2 linked regions of the Alligator mississippiensis genome follow. The protein of the gene in region 2 purifies or fractionates together with the protein of the main gene of each other region. This does not show direct contact. Links are inferred from orthologs where the notes say so. Each region holds a gene or a part of one and is shown on either strand. Other genes may lie near its edges.

Region 1 (12,167 bases), on a different chromosome or scaffold from region 2:
GGACAGGCATCTTCACTGACTTGTGTACAGTGATATCTGCCTGGGTCGAATTTTATATATGCGTGAAAGATAAAGATACAACACTAAGTTCACCACGTTTGATAACCTAACAGTAACTGCATCTTATACAGAGCATGTGGCACGTGGATTTTAAGCAAGCAAAACCCCACAACAACATATCAAATAACTGGGCATCTATATTCCCATCTTCCCATAAGCTATCTATTGTGTAATTGCAACTTCAGGATTTTGCATGTGGAAACAGGGTAATTTTCAAACAATGCAGGCTCCAGGTAAGGAGGCCTTGTGAAAAGTTGTCCATATGTTCATCTAACAGAAGCAGGTAATGTGTGGAACAGGTGGCAACACCAAGGACTCTTTTCTCACCATCTCCCACCATTGTAAGTTTGGTATCCTACCTCTCTACTTTGCACTGCAACAAGTTCTTGTCATGTAAGTGCTCTTCATCTCCACCTTCCCAGCCTTCCTTAACAGAACCCCCATAGACTGATTCCAGTATCATTTCAAGCTTAGGTAGAAGCTATCTTTAACTCTACACTGCTGCAGAAACCTCTGCAGTCAATATAAAGCTGCACTTGTTGAGTGCTGACACCCATACTCAGAGCTGACCCCAGGGGCATGGGGGGCCCAGGGCATATCAGCCTGTGTGGGGCCTGTGCAGGGGGCGTGGCAAGTGACCAGAGTGCAAAGCCAGTGGCACGCAGTGGTTGTGCGGCATGGTGGCACCCTTGGCACGTGCCAATGGCTCTGTCTGTGGGGCCTGTACAGCACTGTCTGCGGGGCTCCCCAAAGTGCAGGGCCTAGGACTGTTGCCCTGATTCGCACCCCCCACAAGGGACAGCTCTGCCCATACCTATGTTATGTGCCTGGCCTCACATCCCATAGTGTCGGAGTGCTTCTCAGTCATTAGTCTTTATCTTTACAACAACCCTGTGGGTGTATTGTTACCCAGAGAGGCAAGCAAAAGAAGGCAGGGAACAGTGCATTGGCTTTAGGGCAGGCAATGCTACTCAGGAAAGGGCCAGAGTCCAGGGCAGCCTTCCACCAACCAGGGAAAAACCTATGCTGCTCTGCATGTGCACTGCACAGTTATGCAAGTGAGTTGGAGTCAAACTAGTTCTGGTTCTGCCTTCAAGGCTAGGGACAGACATTACACATAAATCGATTTAAGTGATCAGAAACTGGTTTAAACCTGTAACAGAACATAAGTTCAGTGCACATAAACCAGTTTCAAAATGGTTGAAACTGGTTTAAGATAAACCTGGTTGAATGTAGTATCAGACTTAACTGATTTGGGTCAAAATGGTTTATGCAATGTCTGTCCTGGACCCCTTCCTGGTTTAAGTTAAACTAGAGTCCCCCAGCATCCCAGCATGCTTTGCAGCCCTGGGCTGGGCTCTCTGCTCCAGAGAACAAGCATGCCCTGCCTCTCTCCTCCCAGGATGAGGCCCTGACAATTAGACCACCTTTCCTGTTAAACCTTGTTAAAAATGCTGCATAGTTACACCTCACCCAGCCAGCCAGTCATGGACAATGCTGGTATTCCTTTTATTTTGCATCCTGTTAGAACCTCTCTGCAGCTTTTGGCAAATATTTCTTATGTATACATTCCAGAAGAAGTAGACATTATATAAGACAAGTGCGCTTTCAAGTTACAGCATGCTCTATTATGAAATAACATTCGCTAGCCCTTAGTCACTCCACAGAGCATAATGAAGTTGTGCAATTTTTCACTATGCCAGTATGTTTGTGTGTGTGTCAACTCATGTGTACATGAGTATGCATGTCTGCACAAAGCACACCTGACAGCATGCATGTATGCCTAACTGTCATTCTCAGCGTATTTGACTTCGCAGTTCTCAGTCACAATGTTATTCAGAGGAAAACTGATGGCATTATTTTCTTGGATGTGCTGCATGGCAGTACACAGTGCAAAGATTCCCTTAAAGCAAATGATTTGACTTGACTTTGATATGAACAGCTTATAACAGATGCAATATCTCATCATTATTCATCTTGGCTTCCTCCCTTGCACACCTCATGCAGCTGATTGCTTTGCTCATGCTTGTTTATTGCTGGTAAGAGAGGTGGGATTGAGGAAAATGGAGTCTCCTGTATTGTGATTCTAATAACCAATTTCTCACAGGTTTATGCAATCAAATGTCACAGGCATTTTTCTCCACTCCCTGTTATATGATTTCTATACAGATATTAAACAGTTGTATCTTCCACCACAAAGCTGCTGTATCTCAGTGGTTGTTGAAGGGGATTCCTTTGGTATGGTAGTTGTAAAGTGGGAAACAGCCTGTGATCTTGTACTTAAAGCCCATACTGTAATGCACATGCATAAATGGGCATGGGATGAAACAAGGTTGAGCGGGTAACTTAAATTCTTGCATTTTCTCTCTGTTGTGCATTGGACTTTGCAACTTAACATTCTTGCAACTCTGTCCCTCTGTGGGTAAGTCAGCATATTTTGGTGGCCTCTTGTGTTAGGTATTGTACTTGTGGTAAATGGACATGACACATAGTAAATGACAGGGTCTATCCCAAAGATCCTGCAATCAGAAACACAAAATATATAGTGGTCATGAAACAGACAGGCAGAGCACAGGATCTCTAAAATATCCAGATGCTTTAGTATAGAGTAGCTGCAAGCACAATTCATCCCATGACTAACAAGTAAGTGCTTAAATAAAAAGTACCATGAGAATTGCTTCTGGCCTTTAGGGCACAGTATGGTGATCCCTACTCAGACACAGCTCTGACTAATGTCAATGATCAATGTGGTCTGCATTAAAAAAAATATTTTCTGTAGATAAGGCTTTTTTTGCCTGGAAATCCCTGCTGTTTTATTAGGCTGCATGCTGGTTGCAGGATGTTGGTGGCCTTTTCTATATCAAGGGCTAATATTTGTGTTTAAAGGGGACAGTCATTTCAATCAGGACATTAAATTCTTTTAAGGAATGTGTTGAGGCTGAAAACTCAGAACAAAGAAGCACAAGCAAGAAGAGTATCGTTTAAATGCAGGCAAAGCAATCTTGTTAGAGCAATTGCAAAGTGTTTTTTTATCTAGGACATTTCCCAGGAGATTGGCCCAGGGAAGGGGAATCCAAGGCTCTCAGTTCATCACTCACCAGTGTGAGCCAGGGCTCAGTGGGGCTGGATTCTGCTCTCCCAGACACTGATGTAAATCCTGAACAATTCCATGGCAGCTAATGACACAACACTGGCACAAAGTCACAGCAACTACGAGTGGAGTGCAGTGAATCAGTCTCAAACAGTTCAGTGCACAGTGCTGAGGGATGCAGTGGTTTCTTCACTGCAGCACTTTCTCAGAAATCTGCAGTCATGGCTGGTAAAATAAGAGGGGCCAAGGGAGAAGCACTAGAGAAAGTGACCTGATTTTTGAAGCAGGAAATCTAAAGACTGTGACAAGGAAATTTTAGCAGCTGAGAGGGGGAGAGAGCAGTGGGTGCTCAGGAAGCTAGGCCACTGGGGCTTCTTATAAGGAAGAGGTTGGGCAGTGAATAAACTGGATTGAGAGAGCCCTTGCTACTGGGTGGAGGTGTAAGAGGGCTTGGCAGTTGGGTGGAGTATCAGATAGGAAGGGCTTTTCAATGGGACATGTGGGCGGCTCTGGCACCTGAAAGATGGGCCTTTGGCTCTGATGGGAGCTGTAGGAGGGTTTGTCACAGGGAGAAGTGACAGTGGGAACACTAGGCATTGTGTGACAGAGGGGCTCAGCCACTGGCAAGGGCCTCCTCCCTTGGCATTGTGTAGAGCTACCTAGGTGATGCAAGTGGCAGATGTTCCTTTGCTGAAGTCCTTGATTAAAAAGGATCTATTAAAAATTCATAACGGTTCTTCAGCTGAGTAATTGTAAAGCCTTTAAAAAGCCCTCGCTCTGTTCTAAATAGCAAACAACCACCTTCAATAGGCATCTGTGTAAATTAAAGAAATGACAGATAAATGGGCTTCTGGTAGAGCCAGAAATTAAAACCCCAGCAGTGGCAGCAAGGAAGGATGGGTTCATGGCTAAGCCTGGGCTTCAAGATATCTGCAGTCACTTCCAGCTCTCCCTGTGTGACCTTGGCTCAGCCATGTCATTCCCTCCCTGTCTCAACACGCCACCCATACACTGAGAATAATAGCAAATGTCTTTGTCTCTTTAGAGTATAACTCTTTTCCTATATGCATGTACAGCACCTTGTACAATAGGGCGCTGGTCTCAGAAGCCTCTAGGTGTTACTGTCATACAAATAATATACATCATTATTGAGGGTAAACCATGCCAGTGTTGGCTACATACATGCGTCACCAAGTCTTCCCTATACTTACTCCTTACATAACCCTGACTACTGCAAATATTAAAGTGAAGGTCTTTAGCTCTCTGAGGCAATGAGGCAGTTAAGGATGACCCCTGTGCTATAACAACATCAGGAAATCAGCTTAACTTCAAGGCAAACATCAGGATAGACAAGAGCGACTGACAATTCAGGAACAGTTTTTTAGTCTAAATTCCTGACTTGCCTGAAAACCTTCATATTCCTGGATTGGATAAGCCACCCCTCTCTCCAGCCACACCGTATCTACAACAGACATACCCACAGCCTCAACTGGGTAAACCGCAGATGTCTGTTTTATTCCAGTGTAGTGGAGCTAAAGCCCTCTCTTATCAGCTGCAGAGTCACACTGGGGACAAAACAAACTTAAACCTGTAACTGAAATTTTAACCCTATTATCCCTTGTCATGGCTTGATTTCACAAATGACTCTGTGCAGAGTACTAGTTAGACAGAAGGACAGACAGGAAAGGGCAAGGAGTCATGTGTCTGTCCACCACCCAGCACATGAATAAGAACTATTTTTAATAAATGAATATCCAGAAGGATTTTTCAGCTTCGTTGCCCCCACAAAATCCCAACCGTCACAGCACAGAGTAACTTAACCCTTAACCCTCAGGCCCCCTGAGAATCTTTGCTTTGCCATCATTTGAAAAGCTGACTTACCTGTGGTTCCACCAACCAGCTCTCTTCTCTACTTTGGGCTGGTTTTGTGTATTTAAAAGCAGAATAGAGAGGGGTTTTGTCTTCCGTGCTGTAGAGCGTTGCAAAGCGAGGCTCTTTATTGTACCGCTGACAGATTTTCACATGGAAAGGCTCGGTAAATCCTTCTGGGGGGGTTTCTCTGTAAAAGAATCCATTGCATTCAGCAAAGCCAGGTTCATCCACTCTGACAACCCTGCCCTGGGAAAAGCCTGGGAAAGCCAAGAGGCAAAGCAAAAATAAAATTGATGTCTTCATGATCTCCTCCCTTGAATTGTCTCTCACTGCTAGATATGAGGAAGGACCTGTGCTCCGGGTACATCCAGCACTGAAGCCAGAAAGCGACTGGAATCCGGGTGTAGCATACAAGGGAGATGAAATATGAAACCCCAGCCGATCCCTTCAGGGAGTGAATGCGTTCTGCATGCAGCACACTGTGAAACGCGATGTGCGCAGCTCAGTACTGACACACACTGCAGATACAAACCAGCACTCCAATAGCTCAGGAATCATCAGGATCAGTGTGGAGGAGCAAGGGACACCGCAGCAGCTTTTAGGTTTCAGTTGCTGGCTATTGCCAAGTGAGCAGGCTGGATCCTTGCTCAGAACCACAGGGTGCACCGAGGGGACTGCATTGCAGCAGAGTCCTCAGGAGGAATTTCGGCTGACTCATCCAGAATTCTTACTGGGGCTCTGAATGGGTGTCTACTGATGTGCTAACCCTGGCACCCATGGGGGCTTGGGACATGCCCAATCCAGCCACAGGCCGGCCTGTGTGTCCAAAGGAAGGGTGCTGGCATTATGCTAGATCCTCTTTTCTTTGCCCCTTTTTGGGTGGCGCTGCTAGCCATGCAGGGTATGCAGCTCCCCAGCTGTGTTGGGGTTGACTCTAGTAGGGCAACACAAGAAAAGGGGACATGTAACCCACTCCCCTTAAGGACTTGCATCGCATGAACCATGCACACTGGCCTTACAGCTCCTGGCTCAGATTCCTTCCAAGCAGGCATGTAAGCTTATGAGAGCTACAGGCACTCAGTGCTCTCTGAGCATCCAGCCTCCTGCAAGGCATGCAGTTTGGATACACCAGAATGAAGCAGCTGTAATCAGTGACCACTTATGAACATTTGGGCCAAATCTATATAATGGACAAAAATGTAATTAATGGAAAAATGAATTGGAATGAAAGTCATTCCCTACATTTCATAGTCTACAGAGGTGTTACCTGTCCCATTGGGATCTTCATTTGGTTTTCTCCTTCTCCAGCTAAGAGAAATATTATTTCAGAGAAAGGGGAGTGAAAGTTTTCAGAACAATGGGGTAACTAGGAGGTTCCCAAACATGTATGTAGCTCTGTGCATGACTTCCTGCTGAAGATGACTGAGCCTGGTCAGATATATTGTCTCCAAACTTCTGGACATCAGAACCCATTTAAATAATGATATTTTACCCTGCCGTATTGATTGCCAGACAAGAATCCCCAGCACTAATTCCTTACAACTGTTCCAGGAAGCAGGCAAAGATTTGCCCATTTTACAGATGATGAAACTGAGACCAAGAGAGGTTGAAGTGACTTGCCCAAGATCGCAAAGGAAGTGTCTGGAAGAACTGAGAATAGCCCAGCCTTAACTACAGGACCATCCTTCCTGTAGTCAGGGACATGTAATCAAAAAGTACCAAAGCAAGGAAGTACATTGACAATTTTACTGTGATATTATCAGATGTGGGAGACAGCAGTGGGCTGGGAGGTCTAGAGAACAACAGGAAATGTAGTAAATGGGTTTGTTTTGTTTTCAGACATGTGACCGGTCATTGAGGCCTGACAGATAGTGTTAGTCACATTCAGGAAAGATTGTGGAAATGAAAATGTGGACACAGCTGACCTGAATCAAGCAAAGCAGAGAAACAAGCTCAAAATGTTCATCTTCCTGGATAGGAAATCTATGAAGAAGCTCCTGGGAAATGGAGAACAGGAACTACATTTGAGGCACTAGATCCTGAAGAAATTATAGGCTTGTAGTCATCCAAGTGAAATTTTCACAAGTGTCTCAGAGGTTTTGGAGCTGAAATCTCATTTTCCATGAGCTTCAAGTGCCTAAAATTTCCATGAGCTTCAAAACTATGGCTTATTCTCGCTTAACTGTTTTTGAATGTTAACCATAACCATGGATCAATTACATTGGTGGCGGTATGAATACAACTAGCAACACAACAGTTGGATGGGCAATGAGGAATATCCTCTAAAGAACACAAGGAACAAGTGATCAGAAAGGAGGAGAACCAGTAGTATAACTAAGGGAGAGTAGGAGAGGGGTGACCAGGGCAGCATCCCCAGGCACCCCCTTTCTGGGGGGAGGTGGAGCAAAACCAGCCATTGCCATAGCGGGAGCCGGCACTGCCCCAGGCACCACACAGCTGTCTCAGTCACAGAGCTGTATGGCTATGCCTCTGCCCAAAAGCCAAGAGAGAACCACATTTCAAGAAGAGCCTGATCAACTATATCAAGAGTCAGGAAGAAGAGGTCACTAGAGACTCTGGTGAGAGCAGTTTCAGTTAGTGTCTAGTGGGTTTTTTCAAGATAGGAGAGATAGGAAGCATGTTTGTTGAGAGGAAAAGCCTGGGAAGAGTGAGATTGTGAAGCGCAAAGGTGGGGATGAGAGTCCACATGAGCGAAACTGGAAGTGGAATAGGAAGAGATCAATAGGGCACAGTTTAGAGAAGAACTAATGAGAAACACCTCTGCTCGTGAGAAGGGAGGAGGAGAGGCTTGTAAAGGGGAAAGACTGTGCGACACAAACACATTCATTAGTATGACCCACTGCCAGGGAGAACTTCCTCTTCATGGAGGGTCTTTTTGGCTCTTGAAGAATCTATTCCTGCTTTCTCAGGCCCTGCAGGAATGTCTTGAAGAAAAAAAACAGCTCTGAAAGTTCATGGAAAATGAAAGTCTTAACAAAACAACAGGCCAGACACCCAAGTCCTTTACCAACTGAAAAGCTTTCAGGCTTGCTTTCCTTCTTTCCCACAGCAAGCCCCAGCTCCCTACCACTCTCTATTGGGTGTCCATGTTTTGTTTTGTTTTGTTTTGTTTTGTTTTGTTTTGTTTTGGGGTTTTTTTAGAGACTCTGTTTTTCATGATGTGATTGCAAACCACTCAAGCCCAGCAGCAGAGGGGACCTCACTTGACTTGGCATACTTTCTCCTCTCCCACAGGGTCCTGGCATGGTATATTTTTGTTCCCATTTGTCAAAGAATGAGAGGGGAAAAAAATAGACCAAGGGCCAACATCTCAGCTGTTGCAATTCCACTTGCTTCAGCGTAGAAACAGCAGCAGAGAATTTGGCCCCAGCTGTGTGGAGCTCCCAGTGCACAGGCCTGTGTGTCAGAGGACACATCTGCCTGTGTGGTCACTGCCATGCATGTCTTAGACTTCGCCTTGCAGCTTTGACTGGGAAAAGACAACCTGGGGCACAAAGCTCAGCCAATGAGCACAGCAGGAGTAAAAGGATTTTACCTATTGGAGCTAAAGGGGCTGGGAGCAAAAGGGACAGCAGACTGCAAGCTCTTTGGGGCAAGGACTGTCATGTACTGTATGAACATACAGAACCTATTACAGTAGGGCCCTGACCTGGATGACCTGCTACCACAATATTAATAAAATAAAATGAAATTAAAATGTTAAGGGTCAAAATGAAGTAAGTATTCCTATGGGATGGAAAGGATGGAAGGTGAACGTAGTGGCTTAGCAATGTCCAGGGAGAGGAAGGAGGCTGCAGTGCATAGTGGCTTGGAGAAATAAAATCTTTACCTACATTAATGTTTTGTTCGTGTTTTTTGCTCATATGTTTTCCTTGTCTGCTTCGATTGCAAGGGCAGGTTCCATGTTTTCTGCTGGCTTTGTACAGCAGCTTGAACAGTGGGACTGTCACCCTGAGCAGGGCCATTTAACACAACACAAATAGAAACACACAACATAAATATTGAATAATAATAACTGAAACACAAAGGCTCACATTACTCATGATTTGATTACAGCTTTACATAGGTAATGAGTTGATTTCTCACAGTAGATGGCTCTTTGAACTAGCAGGCAAAGGCAAAGAGGAGTTCAGACTAGCAATAAGGTGCCATTTTTAACAGTAATAAATCACTAGGATAGCTTATCTGGGAACAGAGTGGATTCTCCAGGATTTTGGCATCTTTAAAGTAAGGCCGACTGATTTCTCTAAGGCTATGCCATAGCTGAGCCAGACACAATGGGCTTGCTGCAGGAACTCCTTGGTGATTAGACAATCAGCCTCCATGACCACAATAGTTCTTCAGGCCCTAAGTTTATTCTGTTCTGTACTTTATACTTTATTTCCAGCACTGTTTTCCATGTATTGATGTTTATTGCTCTTTGTTGTTTACTATGACTTTGTTCTGATATTACAACAGTTTGAAGAGCCCAGGTATCTGGCAAGTTCAAGGATCATAGTCACTGGTTCAGGGTGTCAAGGCCAAATATGAGGCAAGGAGAAAGTTCAGGAGTTACAGGAATAAGCAACACTGAGCAGACTCCTTGCAAGGAGCTTAGATATCTGAGCAGCTTTCTACTTTCTGGATTGTGTGAATGAGGATGAACCTTTTTACTGTAGGTAGGAAGTAAATCCTCCCAGGTAGTGAGCTCGCACTTTGCATGTGAGGGTGAATCATCATCACCAAAGTTGCCAAAAGGTCTAATCAAGATTGAGGTCATACTCTGCTGGTTGCTGCATAAGCACTTTGTGAGAGAGAGTCCCTTGCAATCTACATAGACAAGAGACAAATGAAGGGAGGGGAAATAGAGGCACAGAGATACCCTGACTAAGGCATCTCAGAAGGGTGTGGGAGACAACAAAACCCATTGGCAATATCCAAAAGTTTAAATCAACAGGCAATTAGTACCACACCTTGGGACTTCCTGATGTTTGTTTAGGTAGCCATACTTCTGGGAAGAGGGGTGAAGAGGGTTGTATCAGAAGGTACATTGAGGGGCACTGTTTGATGGACGTGATGAGTTTCAGGCGATTATATCAGTCCTTCTCTAGCTCTTTCAGTACATGGGGCAATTTGTAAAGGACAATATTCTCAGTATGGACCCCTTTGTCTTCTAAAGTCCTGTTACAAGGTTCTCGCAATGTTTTATGCCATGGGCCTGCCAAGAATGTCTTCAGGCCACTTGAGTAGTCATAGTACACAGAGTGAGAACTACTGGATTGCAGGTTTCCTGTAAACACATGAATCTTGTCCGTCTGCCAAGTACAGCTGACTGACTAATTCAAGCTCTGTGGTCCACCCAGTGCTTGGCCTTGCTATTGAGACAGCTAATAAGGAGCTGGTAGGCTTGTGTCTTTATAGTGTTTTTCGCATAGACTGCCCATCTGCCACTGAACTGTAATAGCTTTGGGCTTTGTTGACCTGGGCTACATATGGATGTATAATTCTCTGTTACCATCACTTGTTAAGGTACCTTTATATTATGAAAATTATTCCTTCTTAAAAGCACATAGGAGAGACAATGACTTTATCCAAAGGAACTGAGAGGAAGATGGGAAATAATTCTGACTAAAAATATGATTTTTCAAAATATGATTGACAGGTTAATTCACACGCACAAGAACTTGAGGTCTGGCATGTGGCTTTGGAGGAGGAACCTCTGATTAGATAGCAGTGCAGTGTAAAAGATCTGAAGGAGGAATCGGTCCGATGTTGACGCCTGTATCCTGAAGTGAGGGGTTGGACTTAGTGACCCTGGAGGTCCCTTCCCACTTTGTGATTCTGTGATTCTCGGTGTTCATATTACTGCCACATGCCACTTTAACCATTTGATTCTATCGCCTTGTGAAACAACAGCTTTTGTTTGACTGTGCAGCTAGTGTGGGAAGCTGGATCTAGTACAGGCTCCTAAAGAATATCAGGCTAGACTCACACAGGCCCTTAGGAGCACTGTTGGATCCTTGGGTGCCAGGGAAGACTTGTAGTCTTGCACCTAGGCTCCCTATACAATTCAAGCAGAACTTTAATAGACACTGGTTCAGAGTGTCAAGAATAGTATTAAGAATGCTATTAAGAACAGTATTTAAAAAAATCAGCACACTTGAGTGGAGCACCCATTAAGCTAGCTAGTGAGAAAGGACAAGAGGTTTGTTTTAATCCCCATCTCTCCAAGAGCTAGAAAACTGACTTTTCTCAGAATTCATAGGCATGAACCTCCCTCTTGGAATAAGGTATCAAAACCAGGCCAGCCTGTTGCGGGGGAAAGGAGGCATCCCTTATCTCTCTTTAGCATCAGTAGTTGGAGCACTCGCCTATCTGGTCTCAGATCCTTCCTCCACCTGATTTGGAGCCATGTTTCTCATCTCACAAGAGAGTGCCTGGTTAAGTGCATATCAGTTAAGTGCATAAACTGCTTAAGTGCACAGAATCTTTCAGCCCAACTACCTTGTAACTTGATTGTTGTCTCCTTAGTTGCACACTAATTAAACTGTCAGGGTCTCCTTAGTAACTAATTGCAGTCCCTGGGCCAGAAACAGTGAAAGGGAAGCAGCTGTCAAAGGGCTGCTTTAGACCGTCGAAAATGAGGGGAGCTTATCAGTTTTGGGGTTGCTGGTATCACCGCACAGACAGAGCTGTAACCAGTGCTCTTTAAGGACACAGCACTCTCAACACTATGATATTAGTGCCTCACATGACTAGCCTTCTTCATTATCAAAGCTGCTAATAGTAGCACCAGACCTATCAAGTTGGAAACGTCAGCAGGTAATCAGGTTTGAGGCTGCTAATAACACATTAGTAACAGCCCTGGGTCCTTAAAAAGCATTGCTTATATTACGTTTGGATGGGTGCATATCCTAAGTACACAGGCTTTTTTCAAGCCCCAAGGCGATGCATTTACATAGTACACAGTGCTTTTTTCACCAGTATAATTCCAAGTAAACCACTGTGCATGTTTATCTGCCCAGGACCTCAGATACTTTACACAGCAGCAGGACTAGGACTGCCTGAGGCAATGGCTTAGTGCTTTATATATGTGCAATATCTAACCTGGTGGTTCGCAAGCTTTTTAGACTCAAGGCACTCC
Region 2 (11,929 bases):
GGCAGGGCAAGCTTCCCTCCCACCCCTGCTTCTGGGAGGTGGCAGCAGTGTGGGGTGGTGGGTAATGGGTGGTAGCAATGCGTAGGGGATGCACAAGGGTACACGTGGACCCCCTGAGGGCGCTAGTGCACCCTCTAACAGCCAGCACTCTCCGCTTAGGTGACAGGCAAGGGGGCAGACGGGAGTGCCCTGGGAGCACTAGCTGGGGAGTGGGAGCACTGGATGAAGCACCGCAGCCACTTCTGAGAGTGCCCTGGCCACTTTTGGTAGTGCCACGGCTGCTTCCCGTTCGGCACAATCGACCGCGGAGGGACTCCCCCCAGTCAGCGAGATTGGCCATGGGGGAACCCCCAGGTCACTGGTGGGGCACATGCCCCCACTGACTAAGGTGGCACCAGTTGCCCATGGTGGTAGCGCTCCGTCCCCACCTGCCCTCCCCACCCATCATTCCTGACAGGCAATTGACTAGTCTTGTATATAAAGCCTGGGGTAGATCCAGAGGAGATGTGGTTGTTGCAGTTGCACCCTTTTTAGACCATGCCACTGAGCAGCAGCCAGGGATGTTTAAGTCCCCAATGCAGGTAAGAATTTCCCCTTCACCCTGCTGAGTGGCACGTCCCTTCTGTATCTATTCCCTCTCTCACCTGCCCACTACTGCCCCTGTCCCCCGCTGACCTGAGGGTAAGGGAAACTCCAGAGATGCTCCTGCTCCTCCCTAGCTAGGGTGCATGGGGAGTCAGGGACCATGGCAACAGCAGCAGTGGGAAAATTCCTCCTACATGCCCAATCCCCTTGCATGTGCCTTACCAACCTGCGAGCAGGCTCAGAGAGGGGGAACCCATCTGCCACCACCATCCCTGCTGCTGTCCTTGTCTGAGCTTCCTTCACAGCCCAGCTGGGATGGGGCAGGAGTAGCTGTGGAGCTTCTCCTGCCTTTGAGTCAGCCAGGGACAGTAGCAGTGCAGGGAAGAAAAGAAGGACAATGAGAGAAGGGAAGTGCTACTGAGCATGGAGAGGCAGGGTAGGGAGTCAGGATTCTTACCTTATTTGGGAACTTAAGAGCTGCCTATAGATGTGCTTGTTCACATTCTAATTAGAAAGCTCCAGTGTCACTTTACCTTCATGTGTATTAAGCCCCACCACATTTCAAAATGTCCACAGGGGAGCTTTAACTAAATTCTGTCAAATCAGCTTTAGTTAAAACACCCCTGTGGCCATTTTTAAACACAGGGGGGCTTCATACACATGACGACGAGCTGGTTTAATTAGAGCAGCTGTCTGGTAGCCACTGTAATTAAAATGCCCCCCCACCACCGAGCACATGTACAGGCAGCCAAAATGTCCCTGGCTGCTGTTCCCATGGTGGTCTGCCCACCCCAGTGGAAGGGGTATAGTCTGAAAGTAGGTGGTGCAGCTACCCCTGCAGTTCCAGTTGCTGCTCCTTCCCCCCCACCCCCTGCCCGCTTTACAAAATGCTGGATCTGCCTATGCTTATAGCCAACATTTTAGTGTGTTTGTAGATACCTGAAAGAATACATCAAGATACAATAATTTAACTATATTTATCCAATTTCCAAACGCAGATCAGCAGCCAGATTTTGCCAGGATATGTTTCAATGGACATTGTGGGTTTCAGAGTCCCTGAATGCATCAGATGAAGTAGGTTGTACCCAATGAAAGCTCATGACTTTCTGAATGAGTTAGTCTGTAAGGTGCCACCTGTTCTACTTTCTGCCTTCCTTCATATAGTGAATGTATTTTTTCTGATTAGGCCATTAACAGTTAAGTGATATATTGTAAGAGAGGTGATTATTCTCTCTTTTTTGAGCTAAATATGTTGATGAGGAATGCCATGTCTGTTAGGATCATGTCTTTTGATACTACCACTGTGACCTTATATATTAAGATTGACAAGTAAATGCCATGTGTTTTTAATTATATTTTTAGTACATACAAGATATGCATTAAATACTTCTTAGGGTTAAGAGTAATTTAGGTTCATAGTTATGGCAGGAGATAGTTTTAGGGTTGTTTTACTGAATTTTAACTTAATATGACATATGTTTTTCTCCCTAATGAGTTATACTCAGAAATGAATATTGCTCCATGGAGACTTATGGGGCTTGTCCCAAGAAGTGTGCACATGCATTTGCAGCGCCTCAAACCCCTTTTGAGGCATCAGAGACCGCACATGGCACATGTGCACCTGTTCACTGTGCTACTGATTTCCAGTGCAGCAGTTTTGTTTGACACTGGTAGATCCTGGTGTAAAAAAGGAAACCTGCTGCTAAAAAAAGCAGCGCGGTGAATGCAGCAGCAGCGTACACTGCCAGAAACAGAGCCTGACTGACCAGTCACACTCTGGCTGCTGACCAGGTGCTGAGTGACTGGCCCCTTGCTGCTGCTGCTCCAAGAGGCCCCCAGGACCTCAGGTGAGGCTGCTGGAGCCAGCACAGGTGGCCCCAGCCTCCCCTACCCCACCTAGATCAATTTTCCATGTGGTGGAGTGCACACACAGGGACGTTCCCAGGGACAAATAGCAGCGGCACACCCCTGCATGTATGCATTCATTGGAACATGCCCCATGGATTTGCATTTGTGACCCTCTCAGCGTTAGACATTTACATTTCAGTTCTGTTTGGGGGCATCATGGTGGAGAGATTGAGCTTGTTGTGTTATGTTTGTATGTTGGACAAATTTCTTATATATGCAGTAGCTTCCTGTAACATATAACAGTTATGGTGTTTTGAAAGATCACAGTTTTCAATTTATATCTGCATTGAATTTTTGTGAAATAGGTGAGATAATAGAGGTTGATTTTCCTGCCAAATACAGTACCAAGGTATTTCAGATAGTATCTGTCTCAGTAGGGCTCTTGTAGGAAGCCATGCCTATAAAGGGAGTTTGGTTGGTTTATTAAATATTCCCTAGCTAAGGACTTTTTTTTCCTACTCCTTTGATATTAGGTCATTTGCTCCTCAAAGGTGTCTGCCTCAAAGTGAGCAGCAGGTGATAAAAAATTAAGAATAGTAACATCTCCTTCCAGGTGTCTTCCCGTTCTTTATAACCCATCCCTATTTCTTATCAATCATAGCTAGGACCTTGGACTGTAGCATAGCTGCCTTGGGGAGAATTCCCAGCCTGTTCTCTTCTGCTGGAAGATAGTGTGAGGTTGCTCATATGAGTAATAGCAACCTTGATCCCTGGCTACTGAGAGGAAATGTGAGTTGCAGCCCTTCCTGTCTTTGGGTATTACTTAGGGGCCCTCAAACAGGTTTCATAATACATTTCCTAGAATAGCAGGTGGCCCTCCTGAAACCACTGCCTTTCTGCCAGTGACAAACTAACCCTTCCTAAAGGTATTTTTCCTAGAAAAGTATATTGATGCAATAGAGTTCCCTTCCTGTATGGCCACTAGGCCTATTATAGCACTGTTCTGTGTATAGCAATCAGAACAAAGCATCTTGAATAAAAATCAACTACTTAGGGAGTCTTCACATACCTGTTTGAAGGATGACAGTGTGTTTGAAACATGTCTAACAACTGTCTCAATGCCCAAACTGCGTTTTGTGAATAGCAAGCAAGAGAACAGCAAGCCATATATACTTCCAAATGTAACCCATTTATTTTCATTGTAGGACATCTATTACAAGAGTTGCCTTTTTTTCTATATCATTTTCTATATCATAAAAATGCTTTCCTACCATGACAAGTGACGCTGTAAAAATGTCCTGGTGGATTTCCAATGTATTTTTCTCATTTATTCCCAATTCTGATATTCTCATCTTAATAAGATTTTTGTTAAAGGCCATCTCTGAAAGTTTCATCTGTAAGAACCTACCAAATTCATGGTGGAAGTGGGCTGCATAGCAATCCTTTAATCTTACATGTTCCCCCATGTGCCGCCCTGCTGATGGGTGGAGGGACCCCACCACTTGCTCCTGATCAGCAGAGAGGAGAAAACCGCAGTATTAAATATGGTGCCATTTTTGCCTCCCGGCCAGTCAGCAACAAGCAGCAGGGCCACTGTGGCCCCTCAGCCAATCAGCAATGTGGGGAGGGGGGAGTACGGGGGAACCTGCAAGATTAAAGGAGTTGCTGCATGGCCCACTTCCACCGTGAATTCAGTAGGTTCCTCTTCATCTGGGAAGCAAGAGCCAAGCTGAGGATTTTTTTTTTCAATTTGTTTATCATCTTCCTTAGTAAGAACCTTTGGACTTTTGGTTATGCCCTTGTAGCCATGTGCAGGCATTATTTTTCTACTGGGAGAACAAACTTTCATTCAGTTTCTCCCTGAGGGAAACATGCCCCCACTGGGAGAAAATTTTTGAGGAAGAAACTCTCCTGAAAAAATGAAAGCCGGTATGCTTCCCGCCCAGAATGGCCTGATCCCGGGGGGAGTAGAGCAGTGGGGCAAAGTCCCCCCCCCTCCCCCCCCAATTCCTCATGCCAGGGGCTCCAGTCTGGAGAGTAGGTCAGAGGTTTGCCCATTGCTCCCCCACTCAGCTCCTGTTACTGGGAAGAGTTGGGGAGCAGCTGATCCTTGCCCCTCTGCCCCCTCCTTAGATTGGGTCCTAGGGTTTGCCTTGCTGCTCCATTCCCTTCTTGGACCCTTCTGGGAGGGGACTGGAGCAGCCCCTGAAGCGCCTTTTCTACACCCCAGAATGGGTGGAGGGCTTTGCCTCTCCAGTCCAGGAGGAGACTGGAGCAGCCCCGGCTCCCCATGCCTTGACTGGGATCACCCCAGCTGGGGAAGGCATGGAGAGAAGGGAAGAGAGGGTGGTTGCAGGCTTGCTCCCTCTCCCAGAATGATTTCTAGCAGTAGAAGTTTCTGAGAAATTTTCACCATGAGAAATTAACTCCTTTTTGAGGCCATATTCTCCCAAGTAATACTCAGTGCTACTGGTGTCAACCCAGAGCCTCCCTGGCCAGGCTGCCCCAGGGTTAGCACATAAGAACTTAGTAAATGGTTCTGTTGATGTGGTACAAAAAGAATAAGATCTGCTTGCATCTTTGCTGTGCTGCCAGGGCTAGCAGGAATGAAAAAGCAACAGCCTTATTTTAGTCAGGAAAACATGAGAGAAGACATGACAATGCACAGAGAAGGTGAAGCTTTTAGTTAAGATGCCTCTATGGAGTCTTTTTCCAGATGGACCTGAGAGCAAATGGGTCTGGACAACAAAAATTCAAAGAGAATAACACTGCAGTCTTTGTGGCTTGGTCAGTACCCCAGACTTCCTGTGCACCTACCCCTGTATAGTAGTCAGCAGTGGTAGTGGCTCACTTTCGTACTTGTCATTTGTTTGTATAGGTCATGAATCTTTAATATCATACTGAGCTTATTCGTACCTGTTGTACTACTTGCTAGCCTTCAGGATAAAATTACCAGGAGCACTCTTATATCTTTAAATCTCTTTTATTTGAGAGCCAGAGTAGCAATGGCCAAAATGCTAATGATCTCTGTAGCTTCTTTTTAATTGTAAACACTGGGCACTGATAAGAATGAAAACTTCATCCTTTGTTCTGAAAGAGGTTCTTACAGGTTTCCTAATTAGACCATTTTTTTTATCTGATTCTCTGTCACTTTTCTTCTGAGGCAGACAAATAGACAGTAGGATAGACAAATGGACAGATAACAGCACCATATCCCTGTCAGAACTCTATTGATCAATTTTTGGTATAAGAAGACGTTTTTGGAAGACATTTATTAGAAAGACGACTAAATGACAAAGTGGCCAGCAGTTTGTCAGAGTGGAACAAATAATTCCACGTTACTCAGATGAACATATTAGCAACTCTTATTGATGATGGGACATTTCCTAGAATATGATAAGTGTGAAACAATTTGAGGTTTTATTGCTGTTGGTTGCTCTCCACTTCTGCTGAAAAGAGCTGATTGAGATCATTAAGCTGCAGGTAGGCAGTGCCTCTAGAGTGTAAGATAGGAATGTGTGTGCGCGCTGGTGACAGCAGACTTTGCTCAACACCTTCCTCTCTCTCTCTATAAATTGCAGGTTTCAGTGGATACCTGGCTGATCTGTTCTCACTGTTGTTGGGGAAGAAAGAAGTGGTAAGTAAAAGCAACTCAGGCAAACTTCCCTTTTTTAAAAACTTTAAAGTAATTTGTATGTTAAGTTTCAGACTGTTTTGCAGGTCACATGAAATAGCAGCAGAGAGATAAAGTAGTGGAATTGGAATTGTACTTCAAAGTATAGTCAAAGTTTTAAATATTTTGGAGGGTATCTTTTTGGTTGTATTCCCTTAATTTTTTTAAAACGCCAAAATTAAAATTGATTATAAATGCATGCCACTGTAAATATCTTCTACAAGGAGGACAGACTTTTTCACATAGAATTCGAAAGTCGAGCTAAGAGGTATGTTAGCAGTGGTAAAGAATCAAAAGTACAATAACTGCCTGCTGTATCAGGAAAAGTATTTAGTGTTTTACTTTCTTTAGAAAACAGAGAGTTTAATCAGAAATAATCAGTAGGATCGGATGCTGAAAAATGCCTAAGCTGCAATCAGTGAAGCATCAGCAGTCATATGTTACTACATAAAATCGTACAAAAGGGCTATGTAAAACATTATTACACTAACAGGCTATTCCAAAACCAAACATTTTTAATGTTAATTCAGTTTAATGCACTGAGGAAAGAGGAATACATTAGTCTAATAGAATCGGCTGAATTAATGTGACAGAAGACAGAAATTTGACTGATATTGGAGTTTTCATTAGTGGCTTTTATTAAGTCAATAAAACTTTTCAATGCTGTTCAGTTTCTTTTCTTGAGATTCTTTACCAAGTCCCTCAGCCTAGGTATGGGGGCAGGTATCCATTTTAATTATATTGTTTTCTTGTGGTGAAGAACTTTTTTCCCGTTCCATTCTAAAGAATTGTACCACTTGTTACTTTCAGATACATTCCAGATTATTCACTGAAATCGTGGTTGATATGGTTCTGTTAGCTAGAGTACTGGTTGTGAATGGATAGATATTGGCAACAAGTGGATATTGTGAAGTATTTGCTTTATTTCTGCACTGGCTTAGACATTCATTTATTTACTAGTGTACGCTGTTCTTGGTTTGGTTTTGTTTTTTCATGGTTTAGATTCAGTTCTGTGAGACAACCAGAGATCTAAGGACTCCAATAAAATAAAATATTTATATATTAGCAACTGTATTTAGCATTTGTCCCCTGCACTTTCCCTTCCACAACAGAGAGGTTTGATTAAAAACATTACATCCTGGTTAAACTTGGTAACTTGAATGATACAAATAGTCCTATTGGAGTGATGATAGCTGAAGCAAAGAAGAAACTTGCCCTTAGCACAGTTGAATCATTGCTTGTATCTGTTATAATTATTACCTGTTCTCTCACATTTATGGCAATAGGGCGGTAATGCTATGGATCCATGTCCTCATCTTGTCTAAACTGGTTAGTTAACTTCAGTGGTGCTACTCTAGTTTATGCTGACTAAGAACCTGGTCACCTATAAGATGTGAATTTTATCTCTGGTTATGTGTTTTGAAGTTACACATATTGCACGCATCTTCAATATGTATGTGGAGAAGGCCTGAGACATACCTATTCACTAAAGTATACTTGTTGAAATAGTATGAATGCAAATAGAGCTGAATATCAGATGAGCTGCAAAAAAACCCAACCAAACCCCCCCCCCAAACCCCAAAACTTTCTGAAATAAACATCTACAACGTGGATAATAGCAATAATGCACTGCATTTTAGAAAAGTAAAAGAAGCGAGAGAGTAGCCTGCTTGAAATGGATACCTTGCTTTGGAAACTGTTTGATGGGTCTGGAAAAAAATTTACATGCATGATAGTCTAGCTATTCACTGGGTTTATTAATGGTTGTATTTGAAGTACTGGTATATGGTTCACATAGAAATCCTATTTCTTCTCACTTCTACTTTGCAGTTTCCATGTAATTTTGATTTTCTTAATACTATTGCTTCACATTACTTGTTTCAAGTACAACTTGTCCTTTCACTGAACTGTCATGGATGGAAAGATAAAAACAATACTGAGTACACATGTGCAGTTGGTAGTTTATATCCCTTATGTTAAGTCCAGCAAAATAAGTGACTTGTGACTATTTTAAGGTGAAATAGAGAATTATTGAAGGTTTAGGTCTGTAAAACAGAAAAAAGTAGTAATTTCATGAGTCACTCAGGAATGTAATAGTCCCAATACTGCTTTAAGTCTCTATGGGCGCTGGAGTAGGGATTGCGCATCTTTTATAATTAAAGGCACCCAAAAATAGTGAGCACTGTTGGAAGCAAATAATAAATAATAATAAAGGAGAAGGTCAAGAGTTGCAACCAAAGGAGCACACACTATGGCATGTGAGGATTTATTGCATCATTCATTGAGACAGACTGGATTACAGTTTGTGTGGGCATTAGTTTTCAGACCTTTGAAATGCTAATTTCATATAAAATGCATGGAATATTTTGACCTACCACTTAAAAAAAGAGAAAAGGTGTGTGGGGGGTGGGGGGTTGCTTCCATTTCAGAGCTTGCATCAATGTAGCACTGAGGTGACAGCCACCTAAAGTAGCATTGACAATCATGAGTTATGTGTTCTAAAGTAAATTGTTATTGAGGATTATGATCTTGATTCTCCACTATCTTGCACTTTGTATATCAGCATACAGAGGATCTAAAATGCTACTTATTCTTATGCTCAGGTGCAAGGGAGTAGAGTATATGGTTATGATCCTGCTTTTCAGCTGCTTTTCAGTGCTTAGGGTTTTTTAATGAATATTTTTCCTCAAATATTAATGCTTTCCTTTGGGGAAAATAGTTGTCTTTGAAAGGAGCGCTTTTGTGATAATACCTGTTACATGTTGGGGATAGATATATGCTATAACAATAGCAAGAAGCTGTGGGTTAAAATTCTAATAATCAGTCTGACTTGTGGCTAAAAGTTACTCTTCCCACACACTTCACAGGGTTAAGTTGTCATCTTGCAGGGTTGCTTCCAGAAATCCACATGTTTCCATTGTCAAAGATCCTTGATAACATTAGCCAATCTGCTTTGGCTGCCAGAGTGATATTTTCCTGGGAAGCACAGATGCTGAAAGTAGTTAGTTGTAGGGACTATGGTATTCAAGCTGTACTTGCCAACACAAAGTTTGATCAGGACTGAAATTGATTATTTTTATATGTATTGATCTTATTTTATATATCTATATAGCACCTCTGCCCTGCCTCCAAAGGTACTTTGTATTGCCAAGATAAGTGAATATTCTAAAATAATAATAGTAATAAAAACATATGACCTACCTGTCGGTGTCTAGACATCATAGTGTTAATAAAAATCTCATGAAAATATTTTCTATCCAAATGCTTCAGTTCGGAAGACTTAGTTTAGGGGGAAAAACGCTTTCATTAGATGGAATTTTCTAATCCGTATTTATCACACCAGTTCAGTTTTCAGGCTGCTTCTGTAATAGGGGAGGTTAAGCCCTTGAATTCCATCTTGAATATGGATGTAGGAAAAGAGCTGTAAATGTATTAAGTGGTGTGTTAAACCCATCCCAACCCTGAATTTCAGATGCTTGCTTATAGTTGCAGTTGATTTTAAGACGACTATTACTAAGCACTTATATCATTCAAAACTCTTTTAATGCTGAATGTGTGCAAGGGCAACTTGTTTAACAAGACTGAGTTCTTCTGACATGGGCGGGGCCTTGAGGTTGTTTGGACATGAATGACAACATGAGAGTTGCTCTGAGCAAATGGAAAAAACACTGTTGAAACCAGCAAGTGATATTCTTAGCTGTTTAAAGATCCATCTCTATGCACCTTCCAAGTTGCCATATCCACTCTACTGATGAAATCCTGCACATTATAGTTGTGTAATAGCTTCCTTGTTGCTAGCAGAATTCTCTCAACAGGTATGGAAGAGGAATATTTTTCTTATAAAAATGCCACAAAACTGTACTATTGACTATTACAATAGGCTTTGAGCGATCATGCTATCTGACATTCTCCCTCAACCATGGGCTACACAATAGGAGCATAATTGGTGACTAATGGGGGCCACCTAAGGGGCAACCCTGTTCCAATATCGGACCTAGATATTAGCCCATTAAGTGTGGGATTAAGTACTCTTCTTTCAGTGGATGCTGTTCATGCTTGAATCTTGTTTATAGCACAATAGCAATCTTCATACTGGCTTATTGGGGCCTTATCTTAACTGACATAGGGATCCTGCTGGTGGTGAACATTTTACCCAAGTTCTCCCACTGTTGATTTACTGTGGATGCCAACCAGTGCTGGCCTGTGAAGAATCAGCAGGGTAGACCTGTCACTACTGCTTTTATCCCCCTATCATACAAACTTGTTCACAGTAAGGTACAATAGATAAAAATGCCTATACTAATCTAAATTGGGACTCCCAATAGTGCTACCTAGGGTAGACCTGCAACAGCGACAGTACAAATGTAAGGTATTTCCTGAGAAAGGCTAGTGAAAATGCAGCCTAAGGGAGCAAAGGACCTTTGTACCAGAATTTTTCCCATTGTTGTTACCACTATTTTCTCTTTTCCTGTGACTTCAATTCTCAGAGTATTACTGTAGACAGAAGTGCAAGTCCTCCTGACATTTGAACATTGTAGGCACACCCACACATGCAATTAATGTGGCCAAATACAGTCTGGTGTAGTTCATACCAGAGTTTATTGCTCCTGGGCACTGCATTTACATGTGTACCCGGGACTGCAGCATGTTAAGCCAGGTTGGAGCAGCCCTGGATGGCAGAGGATCCTGGGGGATAGCCTGCTAGCTGGGGCTGCTTTGACCTGGCTCAACATGCTGCGGAGGGGCTGATTGGGGCACAAGGAAGCTTCAGTGTGGGGCTGGCTGGCAGGAAGCCACTGCACTGAAGTACCATCATGCCCCAGCCAGTCCTGTCAGTGTCTAGATGTGTGTTGCAGTGGAGTAAATAACTCCACTGTAGGATAGTACTTGTGTCTGGCAGTACTATCCTATAGTGGAGTTAATTAGTTTACTCCATCCTAACAGTACTGCACGTGTAGACAGTGACATTTTACTGTGGGGCTAATTAGTCAACTCCACAGTAAACGTCTCATGTAGACATGCCCTGTGTTATTTACCTATCCAGAGCAGGGCAATACAATAAGTAACTTAAAATCCTAGGCACCTCCCTAGGCTTGCCTATGCTCTCATTGGGTGACCACCGGTATGGCTCAAGTGGTAGTAGTAGTGAGGTTATATGTTAATAAATATTTTCCAAGGTAGACAAAGCTTTTGGAAACAACTTCCCGGAATATCCTTGTTTGATGATGGTCCTCTTCAAAACAAAAACTTTGCTAGAAAAATGTAAGCATGTTATGCTAAATAGACTCCAGCATGATTGTTTTCTTACAACCACCTTATATCGCTATAACTGTGTGTGGCAAAGCAGTGGCATAGCTGCAAACCCCTTTTGCATTGGACTACACCATGGGAGCTGCCAGAGACTTTTTAAGCCCTTTAAGGAAGTGACAATTCCCCTTCCCTCATCATTCCCCCTCCCACGCCTGCTGTTGTTGCTTTCCCTGCTGTCCCAGGGGTGGGGGAAGCACCAGAGCTGTTGCTGTCCACCCCAGCCAGGCTGCATGTGGACTGGGTTCAGCTGGGAATGGGGAAAGCAGCAGTGTGGGTGGGTGGGGAGATCCCCTTTCCCAGGCCTGCTTCTAGGGGATGGGGCAGGGAGGGGAGGACTACTGTTCTGACCTGCTGTTGGCACTGTCCCCATCCCCAGATGAGCCCTGTCCTGGTACAGCCCAGCTGGGATGGGCACGAGCTGCTCTGCTGCTCTCCCAGCCCTTGGAACAGCGGGGAAAGCAACAGCGGCAGCTGGGGAAGTGGGGAGGGAAAGAGAAGGAGAGGAGGGGTTTT

Evidence for each region.
Region 1: the proteins of SLC34A2 (region 2) and ENDOD1 purify together in Homo sapiens (co-immunoprecipitation; 3 studies listed by BioGRID and IntAct, counting the BioPlex papers as one, with this or other methods). This does not show direct contact. The link is inferred for Alligator mississippiensis from reciprocal best matches to the Homo sapiens genes SLC34A2 and ENDOD1.

The regions. Positions count from the first base shown.
Region 1 is NC_081824.1:447,175,497-447,187,663, forward strand, and holds the start of ENDOD1 (endonuclease domain-containing 1 protein), read right to left. Parts: upstream 5,581-12,167; 5' UTR 5,327-5,580; coding exon 5,033-5,326; intron 1-5,032. UniProt on the Homo sapiens protein: May act as a DNase and a RNase. Plays a role in the modulation of innate immune signaling through the cGAS-STING pathway by interacting with RNF26.
Region 2 is NC_081825.1:39,606,016-39,617,944, forward strand, and holds the start of SLC34A2 (sodium-dependent phosphate transport protein 2B), read left to right. Parts: upstream 1-5,962; 5' UTR 5,963-6,070; intron 6,071-11,929. UniProt on the Homo sapiens protein: Involved in actively transporting phosphate into cells via Na(+) cotransport.